2 linked regions of the Bombyx mori genome follow. The protein of the gene in region 1 purifies or fractionates together with the protein of each later gene. This does not show direct contact. Links are inferred from orthologs where the notes say so. Each region holds a gene or a part of one and is shown on either strand. Other genes may lie near its edges. The genes, in order: rotamase Pin1 and DNA-directed RNA polymerase II subunit Rpb4.

The links.
Region 2: the proteins of rotamase Pin1 (region 1) and DNA-directed RNA polymerase II subunit Rpb4 purify together in Homo sapiens (co-immunoprecipitation; 3 studies listed by BioGRID and IntAct, with this or other methods). This does not show direct contact. The link is inferred for Bombyx mori from reciprocal best matches to the Homo sapiens genes PIN1 and POLR2D.

What each region holds. Positions count from the first base shown.
Region 1 is NC_085107.1:9,297,174-9,301,777, reverse strand, and holds the start of rotamase Pin1, read right to left. Parts: upstream 3,110-4,604; 5' UTR 3,051-3,109; intron 2,950-3,050; 5' UTR 2,903-2,949; coding exon 2,839-2,902; intron 881-2,838; coding exon 656-880; intron 389-655; coding exon 168-388; 3' UTR 1-167. UniProt on the Homo sapiens protein: Peptidyl-prolyl cis/trans isomerase (PPIase) that binds to and isomerizes specific phosphorylated Ser/Thr-Pro (pSer/Thr-Pro) motifs.
Region 2 is NC_085114.1:9,607,480-9,611,829, forward strand, and holds the start of DNA-directed RNA polymerase II subunit Rpb4, read left to right. Parts: upstream 1-1,263; 5' UTR 1,264-1,373; exon of another isoform or gene 1,374-1,382; intron 1,383-2,180; 5' UTR 2,181-2,547; intron 2,548-4,350. Other genes in the region: uncharacterized protein LOC119628842, read right to left, coding at 111-269, 447-686, 879-927. UniProt on the Homo sapiens protein: Core component of RNA polymerase II (Pol II), a DNA-dependent RNA polymerase which synthesizes mRNA precursors and many functional non-coding RNAs using the four ribonucleoside triphosphates as substrates.

The sequences.
Region 1 (4,604 bases):
CAATTGTAAACTTCTTCAAGAATGCTGGAAAAAAAGGAAGACAGTCTCAATTTATGTAGTAGAAAGAAAAAGATCTATACTTGATTGTATTTGCGATATTGTGGGTATATAAGTTTGATATTATTGTTTTACACTTTTTTAAGTAGTATTAACTGTGAAAACAATCTTTAGGCAGTTCTAAGAATGATATGAATGCCAGAGTCAGTGTGAACTGGTTGGCTCAATTGTCCTATTTTCAAGGAAAATGCGACGTCTTCAAATGGTTTCTGCATTTGACCTTTCTTGAAACGACCCAAATCCCCATCACGTTTTGCTGATGAACAATCAGAATATGTACTTGCCAGCTCTTCAAATTTAGCTTCTCTGTCAATGATTTTACGGCGATACTCTGAAAATAATAATACTTTCAAATGTTATTTTTAGTGACTTAATTTTGCACAGAGAAAAAAAGCTATATTTTACTATGTATTTAATTTGTATTTTGCATTATGCATTGAGAATAATCTTCCAACAGTGAACAGACAAGTGTTTTTTTAAAGCAATTAAGTTTAAACTTAATAGATATTTTATTTTTTAAAGAAATTATTTGATTCTTATTTTGTATTTGCCGTTGATGATGGGAATAAATAAAATTTATATTAATTCAATATCTTGCCTTGTAATATATCAAGAGCTTCCTCCTTAGTACGTGTAATATGCTCTTCACGCCATGAGGATGGTCGGCGGCTTCCACTGTGTTTTACAAGCAAGTGGCTGCATCTTACCTCCTTGGGAATACCACCCTCATCATCATCATCTTCATCATCATCATCAGAAGCTGGTCCACCCGGTTTTTCCCATTGAGACTTTTTTGTATGCTTATTGAGATAGTATGTCATTCCTAAAATGAATCAACTATTAAATTTCAGCATAAAATTGACTCACATGTTAGTCCATCCTGTCAGTGAACAGGACAAATTCTCACTAATACATAAGAAGATTGTATGGATAGGTGTTAAGGATAATAAGGATACAGATAAGGATTAATATTATCTTTATAATAACACCTTCACAAAGAATGCTTCATTTTAGAATTTTGTTGACATAAAAAAGGTTATAGTGAGCCAACCTTAAAATATGGACACATTATTATGCTACCGTAGACTATTTCAGAACTTTTAAAGATAACAATTCTGTCATTCATTCATTTGGCTAACTTTAACCAGCAGAACCTCTCAAAAGGAAAACACCCCGTTTTTGAAACATTGTTTATTAGTGTTGCACTTGTATTGGTCTTAATGTGACGTTATATAGCCTATAGTCTTCCTCAATAAATGGGCTAAACACTGAAACATTTTTTTAATTAAGTCCAATAAGTCCTGAGATTAGAATATTCAAACAAATATAAAAATTCTTCATCTTTATAATATTAGTATAGATTTCACAGTTTGGGCAGTCCAAGTTATTACTATGATGGTAAAGTATACCACGTTGGTAAAGTGCATTATTTACGGCATTATTCCCATTACTTATTTCAACCCTTTATATTTGTATCATGGATTTGTTTTTAAGAAAATTGTATGGGAAGTATAAAATTTTAGTGTATAATTATGTACTGATCTGTTAGCTTTAATCGACTTATAAAAAAAAAGAAAAAATATGTAATTTATAGCTTTTTTGGGAAGTAATACTGGTGGCCTGGAGCCCTTCCAATTTCACCAGGACAGGTGGGCGAGCACAGGCTCAGCCAGAAAGGGATAATCTATAGTTTCTGGTTCCAATAGCAAAAGCAATCCCAGCCAAAGACCAGATGACCATTTGAATTGGTCACAACTATTTATCTGCTGTTACAAGTGCATCATTGTTGATACCAATTACAATAATTATAAACTGGTAGGGATTAAAACAATACAATATATAATAATTTTTCAGACAGTTAAAATTGTAAAATGTGAATACAAAATTAAACAGGTAAAATAAGTATTTATTATAAAATATTACATAATAGTCGCATAGTCAAATTTATGCCAACAGCTTTTTATATTATTTTTTTAACTATGGCTGTGATACCCAAAACCTTAAATTGAATATTTAATATTGTGAACCAGTTCTTTTATACTTTTTTATGTGTATGTATATATGTGTCGACAAGCTCACAGTCAATCTTTGTGCTTAACGCGAGTTTTATAACATTCTCGATGGCGTAAAAGTTAACTTAAGTTTGTATGGAGTTGGAAACTTTGCCTACGTTTGCCGCTAGGGGCGTTGTTCCAACTGCATACAAATTTGAGTTAATTTTTATATGCTATGGAGAACATTAAAAAACACACACTAATGTTAAATGGTTTCCACTGCAAACATTGCAGAGCTCATCAAATATCATAATGTAAACAGCGCCACACATCACACACGAGGTGCAAGTCTCGATGTCAATTGTATGACTGCCCCACCCTACAAACCAAAAAGGAATAGCTACTTAACAAGAATAGGCAGGCTGGTGGTTCCTACAGCGCGGGCTCGTAAGACGCCGAATCAACAGTAAATAGTGTTAATAAAAACTCACTGAAGCACTTCAAAAATAAAAACGTTTGAAAGTAGTTTTTAGTAATCACTATATAATAATCAAAACAATTTCTCAATGAAATTTATATAAACACATAGATGGTCTTCGTTGTTTCGATATCGATCCGAGAAATATAAATCTACCTACCAACATTTTACACTCAATGTCTGCCATTTTATCTTAGAAATCAATAACATTCTATTGATTTAGGTTGATTGATTAGAAATTTGATTAATCGTTTATGTTATTTTAACAAAAGAAACATAATAGGTATTAATTGCAAACGCATAATTTACCTGTACTTCTACTCTTGCGAGCTTCCCATCCTTCAGGAAGAATTTCTTCTTGAGTAGAAGCCATGTCGTTGGTGCGTTGTGCCGGGAACGCCAATAGGTTTTTACGTTTTCCTGAAAATTGTTACATATTTATCATACCATTTTAACCTAATCCTTGAAATATCTGAATTTATTAAGAACTCTATCTTTTTATGGAAAGCATTTCTACTTACTTAATTGTAGAAGAAAATTCTTAACGTTACGAACCTTTTGAGACAAATGATGAAACGCATAGATTATACACTTAATATATTAGAGAATGAAACGCAAAGTTGACTCAGTTGACTGTTGAATTCAGTGTAGGTACAAATTGTCTATGACGATGAATAAAACGAATGAAATTGACAGTAGGTGTATATTAAACGAGGGCGGCACTGAAAATTTCGGGAATTAACGAAGTGACAACATTACTATTTAAAAATGTATTTATTGCTTTTCGAAGTATTCTCCGCGAAATTTGACACATTTTTCCATACGACGGAACCAATCATTGAAGCAACCATTCCATTCAGAAGTTGGGGTCTCTAAAATGGCCGTTTTGTAGGCGTCCACAGCTTCTTCAGGTGATGAAAATCTCTGTCCACGCAATTTATTCTTTATTTTAGGGAAAGTATAGAAATCATTAGGGCTTAGGTCGGGGCTGTACGGCGGATGGTCTAATAATTCTATGTTTTCTTGCTAAAAACTCTTTTGTTCTGTGCGCGGTGTGAGAACTCTCATTGTCGTGATGGAGGATGATGCGGCGGTTGCAGTTCTCTTTACGGAGTTCAGAAACGACTTGTGGCAAACAAATACTAGCATACCAATCTGCATTAACCGTTCTTTGTCCCTCAAGAGGAATAGTCGTAACATGGCCGGTTTTGGAGACAAACGTGGCCACCTTTTTTTTTTGCAACACTCCGTGAACGAACAATTTTTGTTGGCTTTAACTCATTTTCGAACACCCAAACTTGTGACTGGTTTTTTGTTTCGGGTTCGTACGCGTATATCCAGGATTCGTCACCTGATACAATGTTGTATACAGCATTTGAGGATCCTGCGTGGAATCTTTCGAGAGTTCTGACGCACAAAGTAACGCGAGCCGCTTTTTGCTCTTCACAGAGCGAATGCGGTATCCATCGGGAAAACAACTTTTTTACACCTAATTGTTCATGCAAGATTATTTGTATTTGACTCATGCCAATGTCTAAAGTTGCCTGAATTTCGCGGTATGTCATATGTCGATCTTCCTCAATCAGCTTACGCACAGCATCAACGTTTTCTTGGGTGACTGCAGTTTTTGGACGACCTTGACGGGGATCATCACTAAGCTTGACACGTCCACGTTGAAACTCAGCAAACCAGCGCTAAAATGGGGTTTTGGATGGGGCTTCATCACCAAATGCAGAAATCATCCGGTCAACACACTGTTTTTGTGTTAAACCACTTCGAAAGTCATAATAAATCATCGCTCTTGAATTTTCTCGAGTCAATTCCATTTTCTCAACGACTAAACAAGTTTGACAAAACCTCGTGACAAGACCGAGAATCTTTTTTTAAATAAATAAATGGTATTCGATTTTTAAAACCAAGGAGTTTTCAATTAAAAATATTTTAATATGACAGGAACAGTGGAAATATTCCATTCCCGATACTTTTAGTGCAGCCTAGTAGGAAGTAAAACTATTTGAATGTTTGGGTTTTTCGGCGAAAGCCAAAATTATATTTTGTTGGACGGTTAAATTTGA
Region 2 (4,350 bases), on another chromosome or scaffold:
AATGCATTACTACTTCACGTCTAAAATAGGCAGGGTGGTGGTACCTACCCGTGCGGATTCACAAGAGGTCTTACCACCAGTATGTTTCAATAAATAATAATAATTTTCACCTGTCACAATTTTTTTTAGTTTGTACTCCTTTAAGAGTGATTCATATGTATTTTTAACACAAGCATGAATTCGGCCTACTGACCATGTCAAAATTACTGGCTGGTCAGTCGACTGCAATTTTGATAGTGAATCCAGTTGATTTTTTAGTATTTTTATACCTGAAATGAAACATTTAAATATGACATAGTTCAGTTTTGCATTAGAATTAGATTGATTAGAAAGTTAATGTATATTCCATTCCATTAAATTGTTTAAACTGTAACATTATTAAAAGTAGTCTCACATACTCCAATATTGTAGTTGATTGTTAGACTAACATACATCATTTTACTTACCCTCGATAATATTTTGAAAGCTATCTATAATTTCAACTAAGCCCTCAGTCAATGGCTTCAATAGGTGCGGATAATAATCATCATTATACTCGTGCAGTTTCACTGATGAGATCCCTTTACAAAACTTAGAACCTTTATCTTTTAGTTTGACCCAATCAATTAACAAACTATGAAACGAAGACACATGTGAAAATACAGTCTTTGATAAGCCTGGTTGGTCTTTATTTGGAGTTGTAATCTCTGAAATAATATCATTTATTAAATTACTTACTATTTCAATCGACATGGACAACAGAAATTTTGTTTGTTAAACTTTTTCTTCTTAATCGATGATGGGCAGACAAACTCACAGCCCACTTGATAATAAGTGATATTGATACCCAGCAACGTAACCATAATAGTTTATAAATCAAACTCTATGTAAATAATTACCTCTAGGTACAAAGTTGATAGCCAATTCTTTTATTGGAGTTTTGGACATTACGAACTTATTACTTAAATTTGAAATAAATATCTTTAGCCGAGTCTCTAAGTAGATAATAAAATTGAAGTGTTTTTGTTCTTCTTAATTTTTCAATATTGCAATTGGCTTACAGCCAGCGGTTACAAGACCTTCTAGTCCAGCTATAATATAATTTCTACGTAAAGAGCACGTAGAAATTCTAATCTGATAAATCAGAATTCATATGAAGCTAAATGAGATGAACTTAACTAATGTTAGTCTTTAAATTTGAGTGACATTATATGAAACTAGGATGTTTTATGATGCGTAAGCCGGATCGCACAAGAGGTGGGAAAAAGAAGATAGTCTGTGACACGGGACCTTTTTACCGCCGGGAGTCCGGGACTTTTTGGCGGGAACGCGAGGAGTGAAGTTGTGTGATTTGTTTTATTTTGTCGATTTAGTATTTCTTCAGGTTTAAATGTGTAATAACGGTGATTTATTAACTGTTTAATATCTGTGAAAGTTCACAAATGTGGGAAAATGCAACAAAGCCGCTGAACATAACTTCCCCGGAATCCTCCAAAAAGTCCACTGAAAAAAGGACATGGACCATACATTGCACGCCCCACTAAACGAACATCATCATCAGCTTATCTATTATTTATATTTATCGATTAAATATGTTAATATATTTTGCTAGTTTTTTGTAATACATTGTTTTCTTTAAGAAGATTTAATATGAATTATTTAAAATATAAATATATTTTACCCATGGCAGCTCCTTCAATATTATCAATGTAGCTTAATCATGCTTAAGTATTTCTTTTTATTTATGCTTTTGATTATCCCACCATTAAAATACCCTTAAATTTTATAATAAGTATGTAAAAATGAAATGTTTTTTTCTATAGATATTTTATTAATGTCCTTGAGGGCACGAGTAGCTGGGCCGAAAATGGCCCATGTCCTTTCATTAAATGACCACCATTTTACTGAGATTATATTTCATCCCATATCATCTCATCTCACTATATTTAATTTCATCTTACTTGATTATTGTCTCAAATTAATCATCTTCATTGCATTTCACTTCTTTCCATTATATAATTTTTCATAAAATTAAGAATATGAATTAAAATAAGACATGACCTAAAGGTCTTAGTTGAGCTGGACATAAAATACCCAAAAAAATTTTTTTTACCGCTGAATATTTAAAGGACGAAAAAAAAAAATGGTATAACTTAGAACTGTATAAGCCGCTGCAACAATAAAACTCCTATTGTTTCAAGTGTGGTGTTAATTACATAAAACACGATTTTCCCGCGAAATAAAGAAGGGACTTTATACGGACTCCCTCAATGGGATGAAATAAAATCGTCTCAGTAAAACAAGGATTATTAACTGAGAGTTCAGTGGACGTGACTAATGGATGCTCTGGATGAAATTTAATGAAACTAAATGGAATGAAACGTGTTAAGATGAAATAAATTAAAGATGTTCCAGTAAAATAGTGGGAATTTATTGACACTTAAGTATACTATCGAAGTAGTAGGTAGGTAGACTATCGAAGAACGTAAGATGTGCCGGGGCCACGGTAGTCAAAGTTGATCAGGTGATAATTGTGTAAGTGTGAAGGCTGGAATAGTTTCGACACAGGTAATTATTTTCATTTGAGAAGTAAGAATGGAAAATTTATCTAGTGGGTATTATTTTTCAATCATGCAACGTGGTGTTAAAATTTACATAAGCCAACTACTGTTCGCGATTTTGGAGCAATCTTTTTTCCGTGATAGTTCCCATTACAGAATCCTTTGCTAAATCGACTAATCTCCCTTTGCCTGTCCAAACTAGGGATGGTCTGTAACAGGTGAAATTAGAGACCTGTTCCACCTGTTCCTGTTCCAGCGAAAGAACAGTTCCAGTAGCCTGTTCCAATATAACAGCGTTTTGTTTTGCAACAGGTTTAATAATGTTTTAAATAGAATATGTCCACTTATAGGAACAGTTATAACATATGAAATGGTTTTAATACATTTTTTTAAATGAAAACAATCCTTCATGCTTTCTCAGGCTTAGGACTGACAACTGAATTTATTAATATTAATGATATGTGAAGCTAGTTTTGCCAAAATGTACTTAATACTTTAAATACTAACTAATATTGGCGAGGACTGCTCTCCCTCCGCGCCTCCGGTTTTTTATATACACTCTAGGGGTAGGGCAGACAAGACCAGGTGGAAAGTGATGTGCTCTGATTCGGTTTTCGATATTTTACGAATATTTTTGCAGTTTTATATCCAAAACACGAGCAATTTTACTGTTTTATATTTAAATCTTGTTTAAAAAGTTAATTTATTACAGAGACAGATTTTTTAGATGAGTGGACGAGCTCACAGCCCACCTGGTGTTAAGTGGTTACTGGAGCCCATAGACATCTACAACGTAAATGCGCCACCCATCTTGAGATATAAGTTCTAAGGTCTCAATTATAGTTACAACGGCTGCCCCACCCTTCAAACCGAAACGCATTACTGCTTCACGGCAGAAATAGGCAGGGTGGTGGTACCTACCCGTGCGGACTCACAAGAGGTCCTACCACCAGTAATTACGCAAATTATAATTTTGCGGGTTTCATTTTTATTACACGATGTTATTCCTTCACCGTGGAAATCAATCGTGAACATTTGTTGAGTACGTATTTCATTAGAAAAATTGGTACCCGCCTGCGGGATTCGAACACCGATGCATCGCTCAACACGAATGCACCGGACGTCTTATCCGTTAGGCCACGACGACTACGGGATTTTCCCGGGGATGAAATCCCGTCTTAACATTAGTACGGGTACCGCCTAAGGCGAGACTTTCGGCGCGCATCGCGGTACCGTAAGTTTCGTGTAGTCGGTGTGGTGGAGCTCGATGGGGTTTAGTCGGTAGTCGTTCTGCGGGGTAAGTGCTTCGCGCGCCTTTTTCAAGGCGTAGTCTCCTATGAGAAATTGGGGCAGGTGAAGGACCTCGGCCCTTCTCTTCTCCCCTTCTTCCTCTCAGGAGGCCAGGCCAGGAGGCGCCGGAGTCCGACATAACCCGGTCCGTTACCCCCCTCGACCGGGTAGCGTATTTCCATTTCCGTGTTCATTAGGAGGCAGTACTGCCTTGAAACACGCACGGGTTTGTCGCGCTAGCTTCCTTTACAAAATCGTGTTCAATTCAAGGCACGTGTCCTCAAATCGCGCACGGGTTTGCAACGCCAACTGCCCTTCTAAACACGTGTTCAATTCAGGGTACGCGTCCTCCAATCGCGCACGGGTTTGCAAGTATGCGCCTTGATTAAGCTCCACAAATCCGTGTTTGTTCGAAGGCACTTTTGTGTTTAATGAATAGGCAAGAAAACTCAAACAAAGTCTTTAACCTTTTATTAGGATCAAAATATATCTACACTCGGGTGCAATGAAATCGCACATC